Linked DNA regions of Arabidopsis thaliana. The protein of the gene in region 1 interacts with the protein of each later gene in a pairwise test. Each region holds a gene or a part of one and is shown on either strand. Other genes may lie near its edges.

Evidence for each region. The genes of interacting proteins can lie anywhere in the genome.
Region 2: the proteins of SHD (region 1) and ACX1 interact in a two-hybrid assay, tested with the Arabidopsis thaliana proteins (one study listed by BioGRID).

What each region holds. Positions count from the first base shown.
Region 1 is NC_003075.7:12,554,444-12,558,196, reverse strand, and holds the start of SHD (Chaperone protein htpG family protein), read left to right. Parts: upstream 1-2,138; 5' UTR 2,139-2,345; coding exon 2,346-2,412; coding exon of another isoform or gene 2,413-2,416; intron 2,417-2,516; coding exon 2,517-2,634; intron 2,635-2,716; coding exon 2,717-2,870; intron 2,871-2,961; coding exon 2,962-3,042; intron 3,043-3,208; coding exon 3,209-3,320; intron 3,321-3,405; coding exon 3,406-3,532; intron 3,533-3,625; coding exon 3,626-3,753. Other genes in the region: AT4G24200 (Transcription elongation factor (TFIIS) family protein), read left to right, coding at 1-1,270. UniProt on the Arabidopsis thaliana protein: May have a molecular chaperone role in the processing of secreted materials. Required for shoot apical meristem (SAM), root apical meristem (RAM) and floral meristem (FM) formation, probably by regulating the folding of CLAVATA proteins (CLVs).
Region 2 is NC_003075.7:9,426,754-9,430,506, forward strand, and holds the start of ACX1 (acyl-CoA oxidase 1), read right to left. Parts: upstream 2,142-3,753; 5' UTR 1,937-2,141; coding exon 1,799-1,936; intron 1,670-1,798; coding exon 1,561-1,669; intron 1,474-1,560; coding exon 1,412-1,473; intron 1,332-1,411; coding exon 1,122-1,331; intron 1,033-1,121; coding exon 945-1,032; intron 860-944; coding exon 697-859; intron 565-696; coding exon 366-564; intron 100-365; coding exon 1-99. Other genes in the region: AT4G16765 (2-oxoglutarate (2OG) and Fe(II)-dependent oxygenase superfamily protein), read right to left, coding at 3,221-3,287, 3,427-3,506, 3,590-3,635, 3,718-3,753. UniProt on the Arabidopsis thaliana protein: Catalyzes the desaturation of both long- and medium-chain acyl-CoAs to 2-trans-enoyl-CoAs. Most active with C14-CoA. Activity on long-chain mono-unsaturated substrates is 40% higher than with the corresponding saturated substrates.

The DNA.
Region 1 (3,753 bases):
GAAAAGCCCATGTGGCTTTGATCTTAATCAAGATATATGTCCTGATGAAACAGATGTCATTATGTCCTCCACATCTACAACCCCTGCTCCTATGTCTGTTTCATTTTCTGTCTCATCTTCTGCAATGCCTGCAGCAGCACCGTGGCATTTGGAAAGATCTCTTAGCGGGAAAGGATCAGCTGCTACGAGTGTATTTCACTCAGCATTACCTCATAAAGTTCCTAGTGGGGATTTAAGAGAAAAGCAGGTGATTTCTCGTGGTATCGATCTGAACGTGGCTGAGGTAGGAGATGATCAAGTTGAAGATCTTACTCCTTGGAAACAGTTTCCTTTCTCCTCATCAAACTCTAGGGGTGGAGAGTCTTCACATGAAGCCAGTCTGCGAGGATCAAGCAAGTTCAACTTGGATTTGAATTGTATGAACGAGGACGATGAGATGCCTCCACCTTCTGAGTCGAAGATGGAAACAAGATTGTTTTTAAGTCACAATGGTCAGCAAAGCGCATCACCTGTCTCCTCATCGTCAGTTGCTCAACAATCAGGCAAGGAAGTAAACTTTGATTTGAATGACAGGCCACAGTTTTTCATTGATTCACGTGATCAGGGTCCCTACTATGGGCGGCACCCATGGAGTACAGCCTCCTATGGGGGGCACAAATTGGAAGAACCAGGTATATCTATCTTGGGTACAAAAGTGGAAGCTGACAGAAAAGACTCTGTACCTCAGATGGCTTCGTTCTTGTCCAATGGCAAGTCCCTCGAGCCTGCAACAGGTTTACACATGGGAAGAACGGGAAACTCTTTGGGTCTAGCCCCTGGTGTCTCCTTTTCTCCAGCCCCTATGTATGGCTACAACGGATTGACTGGTCCTCCTGGTTTGTCAATGTCATCACCCATGTATGTTCCTGGAACTGCTATTCCATACATGGTGGATTCAAGAGGTACCCCAGTGATGATGCCGCAAATAATCGGATCAGCGCCGTATGTGCAGCCACCATTCCCTCAACAACACATGTTCATGAGCTTGGCGGGTGGATCGCCTAGTACGAATGGATCAATGCGGCCAAACTTTGATCAGAACTCTGGGTTTGGACTTGAGATAGGAAACAGAGAGTCGCTAAATTTGAGGCAGTTTCTATCACCTTCACAAAGCGGGGCTATGGGAGAGCATTCAGGAGCAAATGTAGAGCCCTCATCGAGTTCTTCTATCAGCATTGGTGGAAAGCGAAAAGAGCCGGAGCCACGTTGGGAGTTTCCTCCATGGAGGTGAGTGATCTACAAAGTGGTGGAGATGGGTTCTTGAATAGGTTGATGAATTGATTGATTGGTCAAAGGATGATGACAAGTGTTTTGAGGTAACTTATAAAGTGTCTTGCTGAACTTTTCCTTCTTTTTTTTTTATTTCCTCAGTTTTCCCATTTTTCAGGTTTTTTATTTTATTTCATAACATATAGGAGGATTAGTTCAAACATTGGTATATGTCAAGCTTCTTTTTAACCTTGTTGGGTTTTTCTCCATAAATAAATATATAGTTTTAAGATACAGAAAAGGTTCTAGTGGTTTGATTAATCTGTTGCGTCCATTTTCGTTCCATTCGTCGATATGTTATGCTCTCATTTCTGAACAACTGTTCATGGAAGAAAGCAGCGAAGGAGGTCTCTGGTGAGGAAGGAAGTCTCTCACGTGTTGTATCTTTCAATAAATAATGGGACCAAATAGACATTACCATTTTTGAACCGCGCATACATATTGCTACTACGGATGAGTGATGACTATGATCTTCCCAAATTGACAAATTGTATCGCCTTTAGGCGAGACTTTAGCCATCAACCGATTAAAGCCAGCCAAACGTAATAACCTTGGCAAGCATAATCATCGTTGTACAAAGAAAAACATCATTTTACTTTTGTATCCGACATCAATAAAAGCATAGCATCCTAATATCCAATAGTTATTTGTCACATGTAAAACAACTAAATATAGCCGTCCGATCGTCCCAATTAGGACGTAAACGAATATCACCGTTGATTTAGCATACTTTGATAATTTAAAAGTCGTCCATCCACGCCACAACCCCGAAATCCACGTCGCTCCACGTCAAGAACAAAACCTTGCTCCAATACAAAACTACCACGTGGCTATCTCACAATACGATCCGTTAGATCTGACACGTTGGCAAATCATGACGAAGCTAACCAATCAGGAGAAACTAAAGTGTACGCAACTAAACAGTTCACACATCACTGAATCATTTCCTATTATATACGGATCTATCGAGCTGAATCATCATCATCACTGAGTAACCCGAAAGCAAAGACTGAGAGAACCAAGGCTCCGATCTAACAATGAGGAAGAGGACGCTCGTGTCCGTTTTGTTCCTTTTCTCGCTTCTGTTTCTTCTTCCAGATCAAGGTACGTTTCGATGTATATATGTGTTGATTTTGAGTAGATAGATATAAGTGTTGCTTAGGATTCATATGCTGATGATGGCGATATTTCTGTGGTGTTTATCATAGGAAGAAAGTTACACGCGAATGCAGAAGAGAGTTCCGATGATGTTACAGATCCACCAAAAGTTGAGGAGAAAATTGGTGGTCACGGTGGTTTATCGACGGATTCCGATGTAGTTCATAGGTTAGTGTTCTGTTAGTTTCACGGTAGAACTTTCGCTTGGATTGCTTGAATCTTGCCTTATTCGAATTCGTTTGATCGACAGAGAGTCTGAGTCGATGTCAAAGAAGACGCTTCGCAGTAACGCGGAGAAGTTTGAGTTCCAAGCTGAGGTTTCTCGGCTTATGGACATTATTATCAACTCTCTATACAGTAACAAGGACATTTTCTTAAGAGAGTTGATCTCCAATGCTTCTGATGTAAGCAGCTTCGTGTACATTGTTTTAGTGAGTTTTTGGGATACCTCGTTAAATAGGGGAACTAATAAGTGTCTGTGTTGGTGATTTTCAGGCCTTGGACAAAATTAGGTTCCTTGCACTCACTGACAAAGACGTTTTGGGTGAAGGTGACACTGCTAAGCTTGAGATCCAGGTTAGCTACATGTTTCTCAATATGATTTTTATGCTTGAGAGTGTTGAAAATAGAGTTTCATCGATTTGTTTTATCAAATGCTGATCTCAGTAAATTTAGCCTTTCGTTGGAATTGTGTCTAGTGTAAGCTTTTTTCTTACCTCCGTAACTATGCTATGGTATGCAGATTAAGCTAGACAAAGCCAAGAAGATTCTTTCTATTCGAGACCGGGGAATTGGTATGACTAAGGAAGACTTAATCAAGAACCTTGGTACCATAGCAAAATCTGGAACGTCAGGTACGTTACTTATGTGGTGATACGTTGTCCTGCATAATAGTATGGATCAATAAATTCCATATTTCTAAGATCTTGCCTTTCGCAGCTTTTGTTGAGAAAATGCAATCAAGTGGGGATTTGAACCTTATTGGACAATTTGGAGTTGGATTCTACTCTGCCTATCTTGTTGCTGACTACATTGAAGTCATTAGCAAGCACAATGATGACAGCCAGTAAGTTGATTTAGAGGGCTTTGTTTGGCAATATACTTGTGGGCATGTAAAATCATTGAAAAGCTTTTCTGATAACTTCTTTTCCGTTTTCAGGTATGTATGGGAATCAAAGGCTAACGGTAAATTTGCTGTTTCCGAGGATACATGGAATGAGCCTCTTGGACGTGGAACCGAGATTAGATTACATCTTAGGGATGAAGCTGGCGAGTACCTAGAAGAAA
Region 2 (3,753 bases), 3.1 Mb from region 1:
CGTGTACAGCCATTTTAGCCACTCTCCAACAAATCGAAATGCATATGCAGATGCTAGCAGAGGAAATAGCCTGTTCTGCTGAGTTTTATAATCAATCACCTGTGATAACAACAAGCATAAATATATCACATTCCCTTTTCTAGCCAACATAATAGTCAGCAGACGTTGATGAGAGTTTTAAAAAGCTATGCAAAACCAAGCCGAAGAAAAACAGTTCACCAGAAACTTACAGACAAATTTGGCTAAATATGCAAAATATTCTTACAAGCAAAGTTTTTCAAGGTAAAATAGACTTTGAAATTTGTTATGATCCAACATCAATGGGTGTAAACAACCATGCGTATCCTTGATTTTTGAATAAGTACCTGTGTCTCAATGCCACCATTATGTGCGCCAAATTGCCTCCGCACTGCACTGTATCTTGTAGCTATGCAAACTGCTCGAGATAGTGCATTGGAAGCATCAGCCACAATTGTTTGTCTCACATACACCATAGTACCATATACCAGCTGCTTTGGAACATCCGATGGAACATATTCTCCTTCTCTTGTAACTTTTGACAGCCTGAAACGTTTTGAAAGAGGAGAAAAATGTAGAACCATAAGCCCGAGTTTATGCACAAGCAATTTCCTCTAGAACTATCATTACATCGTGAATGCTAATTAAAATCAGACCCGAAAGGCAAAGAGAGAGGACCTCATGAGCATTTGATCTCTAGGAATGCGAACATGATCAAACATAAGAAACCCGTTGTCCATTGAATTATATGCTCCATTTCCCATCTTTGTCCCGATATCACCAACAGTTATATTCGGAAGAGGAGAATGATCTTCTAAGCTTCGCAGTTGCACGATGAATCCTGGAAGAGAAAGTTTAAGAAAGCAATACCCAAGCAAGAAAAATTGAACAAAAAAAAAATACTGGAAACTTTTCCCGGTACATACCATGGATACCGTAGTCTTTTCCGTTAGTTATGAGACGAGCGTAAACAACAGCATGAGTAGAAACTTTTCCCAAACCACCAGGCCACCACTATTCAAACAATCAAGACAGATGAAAATCTTACACAACCAAGAGAAACTGTGCATAATACTCAATCAAAGGCTTCTTGGTATACTTACTTTGGATGCAGTCTGAGTTGGAGTGTGAATTACAAACTCATCAGTCTTGGGATCAAATGTGGCAGTTGTCTCAAGTCCTTGAACATTTGAGCCATGACCAAGCTCAGTCTGTGCATAACACCCAATAATCTGCATCTTATTGGCCAGCGACAACCACTTCTTCTGCTGCTCCTCTGTACCCTGCCCCTTAATAGCAGGCACAAACATTCCCTATAGAGCAGAGATACAAAAACAATGAATCAAAGAATCAAAATCCTGTCTCCAGAAGATAAATGAGACGCAGGTAGTACCCAGTGCAGATCCACATAGGCAGGCTGGTCGATAAAGTGCCTCAATCTTCCTGCTTCTTCCTCTGTAACAAACAAAAAATGAAAGAGCACAATAATAAGACGCAATCAAAAAACCTTGATAACAATACGTGTGTGAGAACAATCCATACCATTGAGACGAAGCTCGATAATCCTTTTAAACGCATGGGCACATTTTCTCAACGTACTCTTAAACAGCTCCTTCCTACTCAACCGAGCTCGATTGCTTTTCTCAAATACCTATATAAACAAGATTGAGAAATTCACAAATCTAAGAGAGACCTAATCATATTCCCTCGCCGCAAAAACATTTCCCGGAATCCAAACGAAACCAGAACAAAAATCAACGAGAATCGCGAAGAAATTCACCGGATCGCTGGCGACAAGGCGGGCAATTCGATCGGAAACCTCAAAAGCGTGGCGGGAACCAGCCCAGACGATCTTCATATCCTCAACGTCGAACTCTGCTTTGTTTCTCTCATCGGCGAGGTGATCAATTCCTTCCATGATTCGTAATTCAGAATCTAGTAGCTAAACACTCAAAAGTTTCTCGAGAAAACTCTCAGAGATGATAGGAAAAAAAAAAAAAAAAAACAGAGGGAGAAAAAGAAGGACAATGCCTCACTCTACCGATTTAATTGCAGAGTAGTTGGAAGAACAATTAAGCTTTTTATTTCGGAGATAAAAGAAGAGAAAGACAAATTGATTTAAATATAGACTCTTTTTTTTCTTCTTTCTATAATTAATATATTTTGGGTTTATCTTTTTCTCAGATCCACTCTCCGACATAGATAAAACCCACGTGGAAAATAATAAATTTTGGATTATATATTCCTAATATAAGTTAATTAGTCAACGAATGTTGAAAACAAATTAAGTTGTTTGCAAATAAAACCTCGCAAGTATGGAATAATGTGATTTTTTCCCCCTCATATATATATTTGACTAAGAAAAAAAGGATATCTACGTATAGAAAATTTTATATGCTGTATAACAAAGGATATTTGACAGACAAAAAGTGGTTGTATTTCAGTATTTGTGTACTAAAATAAAATTTAAAATATCGTTAAATCAGATGTGTGGATAATTTTTTTTTCTTTTTCCCATATGTGTTTCCATATGAATTAGTAAATGCATGCATCTGAAGAACATGTTGATAAAAAGAAGATAAAATAGTTAGATTGAAGATAAGATAATGTTTTGTTATCTTGTGTTTAAAATAGTATTTTGTTCCAACTTTGCAGGTATAGTAGCGTTATGCACATTTCGAAGAAAATAAAAATAAGATTTAAGGGCCCGAATGGTGACTGCGTTTTGCAGGTTCAAATAATAACGAAAATACATAAATATATATATATATATATATAGATTTTGATATTGAAATGTGATTTTGGGTATGGTCTATGTCAACATTCATTTGTGTTTTTGTGTCTGTCAAATGCATTTGCTTGTCAACTGTATGGTAAAACTTGATTAATATTTGTGTTTCCTTCAAAGTATAGTTAAGTAATTACACTTGTATACAACCGTATTATTCTCGTAAATATTAAAATGTTTGTCTTTTGAATTGAAACAGTAATGTCCCTATAAACCACAGAAAATTCGCCATGTGTATGAGTATGGTCCAAACACGTAAACGCCCATTCAAGTTCCACGGCTTTTAAACGTGTCTATCTTTGAGACTTTGACTGACTAATCATTTTCAAGTTCCATAAGTTTCACTAATTAAACATTATGGTACGTAGAAGTTTGAACACTATTTTTTTCTTACATTTCGTCACAAACATAAGACTAGGAAGTGGCGTATGTTAGCCTGAAACGCTCCTTGATATAGTCGCCGGCGAGAATAGGCGGGAATCTGCACCGATGGAACTAAATCTTTATGAGAGAAGGACTAAACTTTTATTCTTTTACACTTGAAGACCAAATGATTTAACAAACGTGTAACGTGCCTCTCCTCACACCCTTAAATTGGATTAAGATTCAAGAAGAAATACCTTGGGGGACAAGTTTCGCTGCAACAACTCTCCAAGCATTTCACATTACAATCTGGATTGGGATCTAAGAAGAACACCACCTACAAAAAACTTTTCCTTTAAATAACTCAAAACTTTATCAATTTGTATAGAAATTAGAAAGAAAGAAACAAGACAAAGCTACCGAGTAACGTTCTTTTCCCACCGGCATCACTCTGTGCAATGTAGACCTAAACCCATTACAAGAAAATACGAAATGTGAAGAACGCATAAAAACCGCACTCACGACTAGGTAAACTGGTTTAAGTTTACCGAAACAATCCATTGGTCCATCTCTCCATCATATCA